Callithrix jacchus: one gene and its partner. Each later gene encodes a partner of the first gene's protein in a complex. Links are inferred from orthologs where the notes say so. Each region holds a gene or a part of one and is shown on either strand. Other genes may lie near its edges.

Region 1 (4,742 bases):
ATCCCGGTGTGTCCGTGGCACCGTCACTGAGCGCAGCACCCTGCATCCCGGTGTGTCAGTGACACCGTCACTGAGAGCAGGACCCTGCATCCCAGTGTGTCAGTGACACCGTCACTGAGAGCAGGACCCTGCATCCCAGTGTGTCCGTGGCACCGTCACTGAGCGCAGGACCCTGCATCCCGGTGTGTCCGTGGCACCGTCACTGAGAGCAGGACCCTGCATCCCGGTGTGTCTGTGGCACCGTCACTGAGAGCAGGACCCTGCATCCCGGTGTGTCAGTGACACCGTCACTGAGAGCAGGACCCTGCATCCCAGTGTGTCCGTGGCTCCGTCACTGAGCGCAGCATCCTGCATCCCGGTGTGTCAGTGGCACCGTCACTGAGAGCAGGACCCTGCATCCCGGTGTGTCAGTGACACCGTCACTGAGAGCAGGACCCTGCATCCCGGTGTGTCAGTGACACCATCACTGAGAGCAGGACCCTGCATCCCGGTGTGTCCGTGGCACCGTCACTGAGAGCAAGACCTGCATCCCGGTGTGTCAGTGACACTGTCACTGACAGCAGGACCCTGCATCCCGGTGTGTCAGTGACACCATCACTGAGAGCAGGACCCTGCATCCCGGTGTGTCCGTGGCTCCATCACTGAGCGCAGCACCCTGCATCCCACTCTCTGTTGCAGACAGCACTTGCAGAGGGTGCAGCTTCGGGAGCTGTCAGACACGGAGGTCAGGCGGCGGCAGGAAGCCAGGCTAGCTCTGCCGACATCCAGGCTCCGCTTCATCCCCAAGCCTGACGGGCTGCGGCCTATTGTGAACATGGACTACGTCGTGGGAGCCAGAACGTTCCGCAGAGAAAAGAGGGTGACCGTCCTTTGGTTTAGTTTCCTTTTTAAACAGAAATGCGTCTGAACCCCGTGTTCGGTATCTGCTTAGATGAAGGGTGGGAGGATGGGCCACAGGTCACAGCCAGGTCCACAGCTCGGCCCAAGCCCGTTGGTGGGCACAGTGAGGTGGCCGAGGTCAGAAAAGCAGCACAGGGGGTGCTCCTGGGGCAGGGACGGGCTGAGGACCACAGGGAGCCCCTGGGCCTGGGCCTAGATGCAGTGGGGCCTGAGGTCCCAGATCCGTGTCCTGCTGTGGTGTTTCTGTGTGTGTGGGGCCCAGGGACCAAGCCACAACTGCCAGAGCCCACCGGGCACTGGGAACCCTGGGACCTCGCCCCCCAGCTCCTGTACCCACCCCTGTGCTGCTGTGGCTGCAGTGACCCCCTCAGTGTGGGGTGAGCTGGGCAGAGAGGGGTCATGTGAGGGTCCCATGTGGAACACACATGGGGCCCGCAGCACATTTCAGACGGGGCCTGGGAAGCTGTGAGGGGTTTAAGGCCCTGGGTCTGGGCGGCTGGGGACGCTGGGGTGGGGCTGCCTCTCCCCCGGGTCCCTCTGGTGGGCAGGGCACCAGCCGGGTCCGCTTTCCTGACCATCTCCATGCTGCCCTGCCAGGCCGAGCATCCCACCTCGAGAGTGAAGGTGCTGTTCAGCCTGCTAAACTATGAGCGTGCGCGGCGGCCCAGCCTCCTGGGCGCCTCCGTGTTGGGCTTGGACGATATCCACAGGGCCTGGCGCGACTTTGTGCTGCGCATGCGGGCCCGGGACCCACCACCTGAGCTGTACTTTGTCAAGGTGAGTGCTGGGGAACCCCGTCGGCAGCCCTGCTGGGCCTCGGGAGTGGCCGCCTGATTCGCACCTGTGTTGGCTGGAGGAGGTACTCCTGGGTGGGCCGCAGGGAGTGCAGTCACTGTTGGGGACACATCGGCTCCTGGGGTGGAGGCCTTGTACCCCAACTGCCCTAGGGCTCCTGCTCCCAGGGGAGGTCTCACCAGATACCATCAGGGAAGGGACTGTACTGGCTCAGCCACCAGGCCCTGGTGCCTCGAACCCCAGTCCTGAGCCAGGGGCCTCCTGTCCTGAGGCTCAGAGAGGAGACAGCCCACCTTGCCCTTGGGGTCGGGAGGGGTGGGGGCCAGAGAGAGAGAGGGGGATGCAGCCACAGCCAGGACCTGGGAGCAGAGGTGTCGTCTGCGTCACTGAGTGGATACCATCAGCCTCCTTTCTCACATAGGTGGACGTGACAGGCGCATACGACACCATCCCCCAGGACAAGCTCGCGGAGGTCATCGCCAGCATCATCAGGCCGCAGGCCACATACTGCGTGCGGCAGTACGCTGTGCTCCAGAAGGCCGCCCACGGGCACGTCCGCAAGGCCTTCAAGAGCCATGTAAGGCTCCTGTGTGATACAGTGTGTCCAGATGTGTGTGTCTCTGGGATATGGATGTGTCTAGGATGCAGTTGTCTGTGATGTGTTTCTGTAAGGTACTTCCATGATTTACACGTCCGTGATGTGTGTGGTGTGTGTGTGTCCATGGCACAAGTGTGTCTGTGGCATGTGTGTGCCCATTGTGTGTCTGTGGTGTGTGTCTCCGATGTGCATGTTTGCTATGTGTTTGCATGTGTGCTTGTGGTGTGTCACTGACGTGCATGTTTGCAGTGTGTCTGGTATGTGTGTCTGTGGTGTGTATCTCTGATGTGCATGTTTGCCATGTGTTTGCATGTGTGCTTGTGGTGCGTCCCTGACATGCATGTTTGCGGTGTGTCTGACATGCGTGTCCATGCTGTGTGTGCGGGTCTCTGATACGCATGTTTCTGGTATGTGTGCATGTATGCATGTGTGTGGTATGTCACTGACATGCATGTTTGCCGTGTGTGTGTGACGTACATATGTATGTCTGTGATGTACATATTTGTGGTGTGTGTATGTCTGTGACGCGTGCCTGTCCCTGTTGTGTTGTGTGACTGATGTGTATGTTTATGCTGTGTGCATGTGTGTGATGTGTCACTGACATGCATGTTTGAAGTGTGTGTCCGACATGTCTGTAATATACATGTGTGGTGTGTGTGTCTGCTACACATGCGTATGCATGCTATATGTCTGTGGAGTGTGTGGCGTATTACTGACGTGCATGTTTGCGGTGTGTGACACGTGCGCCTGTGATTACATGTGTGGCATGTCTGTGACACGTGTGTGTGCATGCTGTGTGCTGTGTAGTATATTACTGACATGCATGTTTGTGGTGTGTGCATATGTGTGTCTTGTGTCACTGATGTGCATGTTTGTGGTGTATGACGCGTGTCTGTGATGTACATGTGTGGTGTGTGTCCCTGACACGTGTGTGTGAGTGCTCTGTGTCTGTGGTGTGTGGTGTGTTACATGTGTGTTTGCAGTGTCTGTGTCTGTGGTGTGTCACTGACATGCGTGTTTGCAGTGTGTCAGGTGTATGTGGTATATTACATGCGTGTTTGTGGTGTGTGGTATATTACTGACATGCATGTTTGCAGTGTGTGCACGTGCAGTGTGTGCATGTTTGTGGTGTCTGCACGTGTATGTGGTGTCACTGACATGCATGTTTGCGGTGTGTCAGGTGTATGTGGTATATTACTATCATGCATGTTTGTGGTGTGTGGTGTATTACTGACATGCGTGTTTATGATGTGTGCATGTGTGTTGTGTATTACTGACATGCATGTTTACGGTGTGTGCACGTGTGTGTGGTATATTACTGACATGTTTGTGGTGTATGGTGTATTACTGACATGTGTGTTTACAACGTGTGCACGTGTGTGGTATATTACATGCGTGTTTGTGGTGTGTGGTGTATTACTGACATGCGTGATTATGGTGTGTGCACGTGTGTGTCTGTGCTGTGTGTGTGGCCCTCAGCCTCCCCCTCCCTCTGCTGGGCATGAAGCTCACCATTGTCCTTGCACCCTCAGGTGCTGGTGTGGTGAGTTCTGTGTTCAGGGTCCTCCCATCCAGCACGAGTGCCCCTGTCCTGTCACAGGGCTGGGCCTCAGAGCCTGCAGGCTGGGTTTGGGAGGAGAGGGATGCTGGTGGTACCTTCCTGACGCCCCTGGCACCCCCCAGGACTCTAGCCTGGCCTGTGCCAGCTCCACAAGAGATGGGAAGGCCTACACAAGCCTCGCTGCCCCCGGACACTCTCCTCCCAGGGCGGCCGGGGCCTTGGGGTTCAGCCGGGGTACAAGGGGCCCTGGGCTTGGGTTCCCACCCAATGATCATGAGCATGCTGGAGTATGGGGCTTAGCCCCCCAAAGCAGTGCCAGGCTGGGGATGCAGAGGTGGAGACGTGTCCTCAGGTTTCGCTCTGGGGAGAAATACGAGTGAAAACCTGCCTGGACCTTTTCTTCCCGCTTTTTCTTGAGACTGTTGCAGGGATTTGCAAATCTCATGTGTGACTCAGCAGAATTTTAGACTTGTGGAAACCTGATGGCCGCCACCTGCGCCCAGGTGTAGACAGTCACCAGAGTCAAGGAGACCCCCTTCTCCCAGCAGAAGCCGCTGCCCCTACAGTGACCCTGGTTCCAATCTCCAGGTCTCCACATGAGTGAGATCAGATGGGAGGTGGTTTCTGGGGTCCAAGCCTCAGCCATGCCGTGTGTGTGGCCGTGTATCCTGTCCACAGGTGGCTCAGCTGTGGAACACGCCACGTGGATGTATCCTTCTTGCTGCTCTGGAGGCTTCTGGGTGTGGATTCCACAGCTGCGCCTGCTGTGAGCGCTCTGGCATCTGGGAGTGTACTGGGGGTCAAAATCCCTTGCCTCTGGGTGAATTCCAGGGGTGGGGTTGCTGGGTCACACACCTGCATTATGAAAGTTGTGGGAGTTTCCAGGGG
Region 2 (5,418 bases), on another chromosome or scaffold:
TTCTCCACCCTAAGTATCCGTCGAATCCAGGCTACCACCTCATGGGAAGAGGGGTTAGAGGGCTTGTCGAGATTAATGAAACCTGTCCTAGAATTAAAAAAAAATTAATGTATCACCCACTCGTGTGTTCCAATGAAACAACAAATCTGAAGAGTCAAAAAGAAAAAGAATTCACTGTGGGTACAGGTTATATATTCAGGACAAAGCTATTCTGACATGCTACTATCTTCTTGAATAGCTGGTGTGAAAGCATCATTTTCAAAAGAAAGTAAGTTTCAACAGTGCCTCCTCCCAACACTTACCTGATATAGTCCCCAATCTCTCTCTTCAGAGGATTTGAACCACATGCAAGAGGTGTATAGTGAGTTGTCCTTACATTCAGCTTATCAAAATTCTAGAAAGTGACGACACAACACAAAACAAAGTAACATGTCACGAACACATGTAAAACGAGTCAGCAGCACTATGCGGCCCACAAATTGGCATAGGTCGGCAAGACGGAGTAAGTACAAAAACTGAGAACTAATTGTTTACAAACTTAGCAATCTAATATTGTGGTGGTGACATATGTTGTATTCTACAACAGTGTTGAGTGTATTGCAATTTGTTTTAAACTTGGTTCTTCATTTCAGATACCTTAAGGAACCCTGCTTTAAACACTATCAGTTGTTTAACACTTGGAAATAACATAAAAGCAGACATTCACCTGATGCCTGATCTTAACCACATACCTTTAGCAAAAGGGGCCACTGAGACGTGTCCAACTTAGCAACTTTGGATTCAGGTTTGATAAGAAATTCTTCAACGTGTTGTATTTCCTTCCACAGAAGAGAAATATAACCTATTAGACTTCCCACCCGATTTTGAATAATTCCATTGCTACCACGGAAATGTGTGCCTTTTAAATAGAAAGTAAGGCTTTCTATGCCTTTTCAGTGGGACCTCCAGGGGAAAGAGAAGAAATGAACCAGGAGTACAGAGGGGAAGTGAAATGCCACTAAGATGGGTCCAAAAATTTAAAGAGAAAGGGGGATAGTGGGTCTGTGGGTGGGATAAGGAAGAGAAATTCAGAGACAGCAGTTGGGAAGCCCAGCACCATTTAGTAAGCTATGCCTGAAGGAGACTTGGACTGTCTGGGGCTGTCATATCAGTACTTTTTCAAATCTACACAATGACCACCAATCCTGGCCCATTCTTGGAAACCTTTAAAACACTTCTTTCCTTTAGTTTGTTATTTAAGTAAACCTTCTTTTTAGTCAAAGTGAAGTCAAACACATTACTACTCACGGCTACATCTTCTTCTGGCAATGACTTCCGCTCCTTTTTCTTCTTATGTTTCTTTGGTAAAATAATCACTAAAAAAAAAAACAAACACAGGATTTGAGAATTTTCCCCAAGAATAAATGAGCATGAGTTTAAAATAAAAACCAAAATTAGGGGTAGGAAATGGATCTTAGGTCTACAATTACAGTCACATGCCACATAATGTTTTGTTCAAGGACAGACTGCAAATGTGACGGTGGCCTCCATAAGATTATAACAGAGCTGAAAAATTCCTGTCTCCTAGTGATGTCTTAATGATCCTGACCTGTGTACGTCAAGGCTACTGTGTGTGTTTGTGTCTTATTTAACAAAAAAAAAAAATGTAAAAACAAAAAAAAAGTAGAAGAGTTATAAATAAGGATATAAACAGAGAAAATAATTATGTACAACTGAATAATGTGTTTAAGCTAGGTGTTATTACAAGGGTTGAAGGAAATAGTTTATAAAGTTACAGTAAGCTAAGGCTGATTTATTCTGAAGAAAAATATATTTTTATAGAGGAGGGACAGCGGGGGGTGGGGAGTTGGGGAGAGATAGCATGGGGAGAAATGCCAGATATAGGTGAAGGGGAGGAAGGAAGCAAATCACACTACCACGTGTGTACCTATGCAACAATCTTGCATGTTCTTCACATGTACCCCAAAACCTAAAATGCAATAAAAAAAAAGAAAAATATATTTTTATAAATTTAGTGTAGCCTAAGTGTACAGACTTTATAAAGTCTCCAGTAGTGTAATGTCTGAGGCCTTCACATTCAGTCACTGACTCAACCAAAGCAACTTCCAGCCCAGCAAGCTCCATTTATGGCAAGTGCTCTCCTCTACGGGTGCACCACTTTTAACCTTGTGTACTATATATGCATACACATTTGAGATGCAGTTTCACTCTTGTTGCCCAGGCTGGAGTGCAGTGGTACAATCTTGGCTCACTGTAACCTGTCTCCCAGGTTCCAACGACTCTCCTGCCTCAGCCTCCCCAAGTAGCAGGGATTACAGGCATACGCCACCATGCCCAACTAACGTTTGTATTTTTAGTAGAGACAGGGTTTCACAATGCTGGCCAGGCTGGTGTCGAACTCCTGACCTCAGGTGATCGGCCTGCCTAGGGCTCCCAAAGTACTGGGATTACAGGCATGAGCCACCATGCCCAGCCCTGTACTATATTTTTACTGTCCTTTTTCCGCTTAGACATGTTTAAATACACATCGTCTCGACACTGTGCTCCAACTGCCTATAACATTCCCCACAGTACCATGCCGTGCAGGTTTGGAGCCTAGAGCAATAGGCTCACCATATACAGCCAGGTGTGTAGTGGCCTATGCCATCTCGGTTTGTGTAAGAGCACTCCGACGTTCCCACAACGATGAAATTGCCTAACGACCCATTTCTCAGAAAGTATATCCGTAGGTCAGCGAGAAAACAAAGTGTGTAAGGCCAAATATATGGGTCGCATGGCTGGGTAACTGCCTTCCGGTTCACCACGTGGCTATGGCAGGGCTTAAACATCCCACAGAAGCGCTCACGCAGGGGACCCGACAGTTCCATAAGCGACCACTCGACTCTCCCCGCCAGCTTGTGGCCTCTAGAAGTTTCTTGCAACTCGGAGCTATGTCTGCTCACGGGTCCCCCGGCTCCTTTTCTTCTCGGCCCGTTTCCACCACCCTTGCTCCCATCGTCGCATGGAGCTATACTGGCGGCGTCCGGGCTAGCAGCAGCACAAACGCTGCCACGTCCCCCGCCACCACGGGGTGGGCAGCACGACAGATGTCTTACGACGAAAACCCGGACCCCAGGGAGGCTTGTCATCGGTGAGAGGCCCGAGCCCCGCCATACCAAGTCACCGCGAGGGACTCCCACTCCCGCCGTCGCCATCGAGCCAGGGCCGAGCGACAAGGCCGGTCGGCTAAGAGGCCGACGCGCCGGCGGGAATCAGAGGGAGGTGGGCGCGGGCCCGTATACCATCCCCCATTCCCGGCTCCCCGAGTCGCCTGGAGTTAGCATAGTCCGGACGCCTGCAGCCCTTACCTTCCGCATCCGCCATGTTACCCTGCACCGCGTGCGTACCGCCTGGTCCACGGCCCGCAGAACTACCGCAGACTCCCGCCGCCACAGTCCAGTGAGGCCGCGCTGCTAGGCCTGCCCCTCCGCGCACAACCCTGTGCGTGCCTCGCCGCGGAGCGGGAGGGGGCGGGGCCTTTCCCGGGGCGACCCGAGGCGCTCGGGCGCGCGGATCTTCCGCGCAATGCGATTGGCTGGCTCAGCCAGGGTCGCGCCACCGCGCCTGCGCCTCGAGCCTCTACCAGCCCGATTAGCCCCGGCTGGAAGCGCTAGTGCCGCCCTCCCCGGCAGCCCGGAGTCTGTGGGCGTGTCCCCAGCTGTCGTTGGTTTACCTCCGGGTTTACCTCCGCGCCTGCGCCTGGGCTCACGGCTGAGCGCTGCGTAGTCGGTAGCTCTTTGCTTTCTGACACTGACTCTCTCAGCTTGGTGTCGGATTAGTCCTGATTCAAAAGTGAACATGTTGAGGCTCGGAGAGATTGAAAGCCTTTTGCTGCTTGCAGTTCCCATCCAGCTAGAGCGGATGGCCACTAGGAGCAGAGCATGAGCCACATGTTGACTTTTTCTAGCAGCTACATGGAAGAAGAGTGAAAAGAAAAGGGTGAAATTGATTTTAATAATGAATTTTTTTAACCCAGCGTATCCGAAATATTATCATTTCCGCATATAGGCAAAACACAACTGCATGAATGGGATATTTTGCTTTTTTTTTTTTTTTTTTTGGTCCCCACAAGGTCTTTCCGGTGTGTGTGTGTTTACTGTCACAGCACACCTCAATTGGAACTCTACGACCAGGCTTCACGCCAAACAGCAGAGACAAAGCACTGGCACTAAATCTCATAGAAACAGGATGAGCCTGGGTATCATGATAGGCAGCAAGGCTGGAAGCTGGAACCAAACTGATTTCTCCCCAGGGATCTTTGGTGCTGTCTAATTGATCGTGGTGTCCTATAGTAAGCCATCATGATCTGTATAACCCCTGTAACGCTAGATCTGGCTAAAGGCATCCTGTCTTGAATCACCACAATGGAAAATCATGGTGCCTCATCTAATTCCCAGATCTAGACAGTCCACAGGCCAGAGCCTGTGAGGTAAGCCTGTAAAAGTGAGGCCAGGCACATGTGTGTAGTTTAAGCCTGCCTCCTACTTTACCCTGGGACCCATGGACATTTACCAGAGACTTGCACAAGCTCGTGTTAATCCCTGGGGAAGTAGAATGCCACTGTCAGAAGTGGAGTCAGCCCATGTCCCTTTCACTCTCAGCCACCCTGTGGCTCTCTCCCCACTTCTTGAATCCATACTTAGAATAAACACAATTGGTGGCTGGAAAAATTCCCACAGGGGCTTCCTGACTCAAGGACTGAGGGTGATAAATGAAGGAAAGATCAAAGGAAGCCTCTGCACATTATCATAATTGAGTCCCTGGGAACTGATTTGATCATCTCACTGTACCCCCAGACATCATGTTGATGCATAGGAAGTGGCAAATGTCTCACCACAAGGTGAGAGATAAGCCCCTTGAAAATTCAGGGAGGTGACACCTCAGTGAACTTTCTGGGCATCCAGTGGGCTGAGACATGTTGAGATGGTCCCTCCAAAGAGAAAGACAGGTTGCCTTACCTGGAACCCTCTGCTTGCTAAAAAAGAAGCACAATACTCAGTGGGCCATTTTCTGGAGATGGCATAACCTATTAGTATGCTACACAGAGCCTTTTCCACGCCTTAGTAAGAGACTCACAGTTCAGCCCTCTGGAATTTGAAATAAACTTAAAGCTCAGCCCTCTACACACAAAAGTATAATAATTTACCAGGAGCAAAAGCTCCTGGCTTGCTGTAGTTATTTACTGAAACAGAATGACTGTGATATATGTGGTCCTAAGACCTGAGCTGCCCATCATAAACTGGGTGTTGTCTGACCAAACCATAATGTTGGTCATGTGCAACAGCACTCCATCATCAAGTACAATGATGCAGCCAATTTAGAAAGCGGTCTGGCATGGGCCGGGTGCGGTAGCTCACACCTGTAATCCCAGCACTTTGG

The links. Proteins that work in one complex are often made in the same cells at the same time.
Region 2: TERT (region 1) and DKC1 share a complex: the UniProt entries of both Homo sapiens proteins name them as parts of the telomerase holoenzyme complex. The link is inferred for Callithrix jacchus from reciprocal best matches to the Homo sapiens genes TERT and DKC1.

What each region holds. Positions count from the first base shown.
Region 1 is NC_133503.1:204,807,700-204,812,441, forward strand, and holds part of TERT (telomerase reverse transcriptase), read left to right. Parts: intron 1-678; coding exon 679-859; intron 860-1,497; coding exon 1,498-1,677; intron 1,678-2,116; coding exon 2,117-2,272; intron 2,273-4,742. UniProt on the Homo sapiens protein: Telomerase is a ribonucleoprotein enzyme essential for the replication of chromosome termini in most eukaryotes. Active in progenitor and cancer cells. Inactive, or very low activity, in normal somatic cells.
Region 2 is NC_133524.1:150,505,612-150,511,029, reverse strand, and holds the start of DKC1 (H/ACA ribonucleoprotein complex subunit DKC1), read right to left. Parts: upstream 3,495-5,418; 5' UTR 3,364-3,494; coding exon 3,348-3,363; intron 1,356-3,347; coding exon 1,288-1,355; intron 819-1,287; coding exon 732-818; intron 395-731; coding exon 303-394; intron 88-302; coding exon 1-87.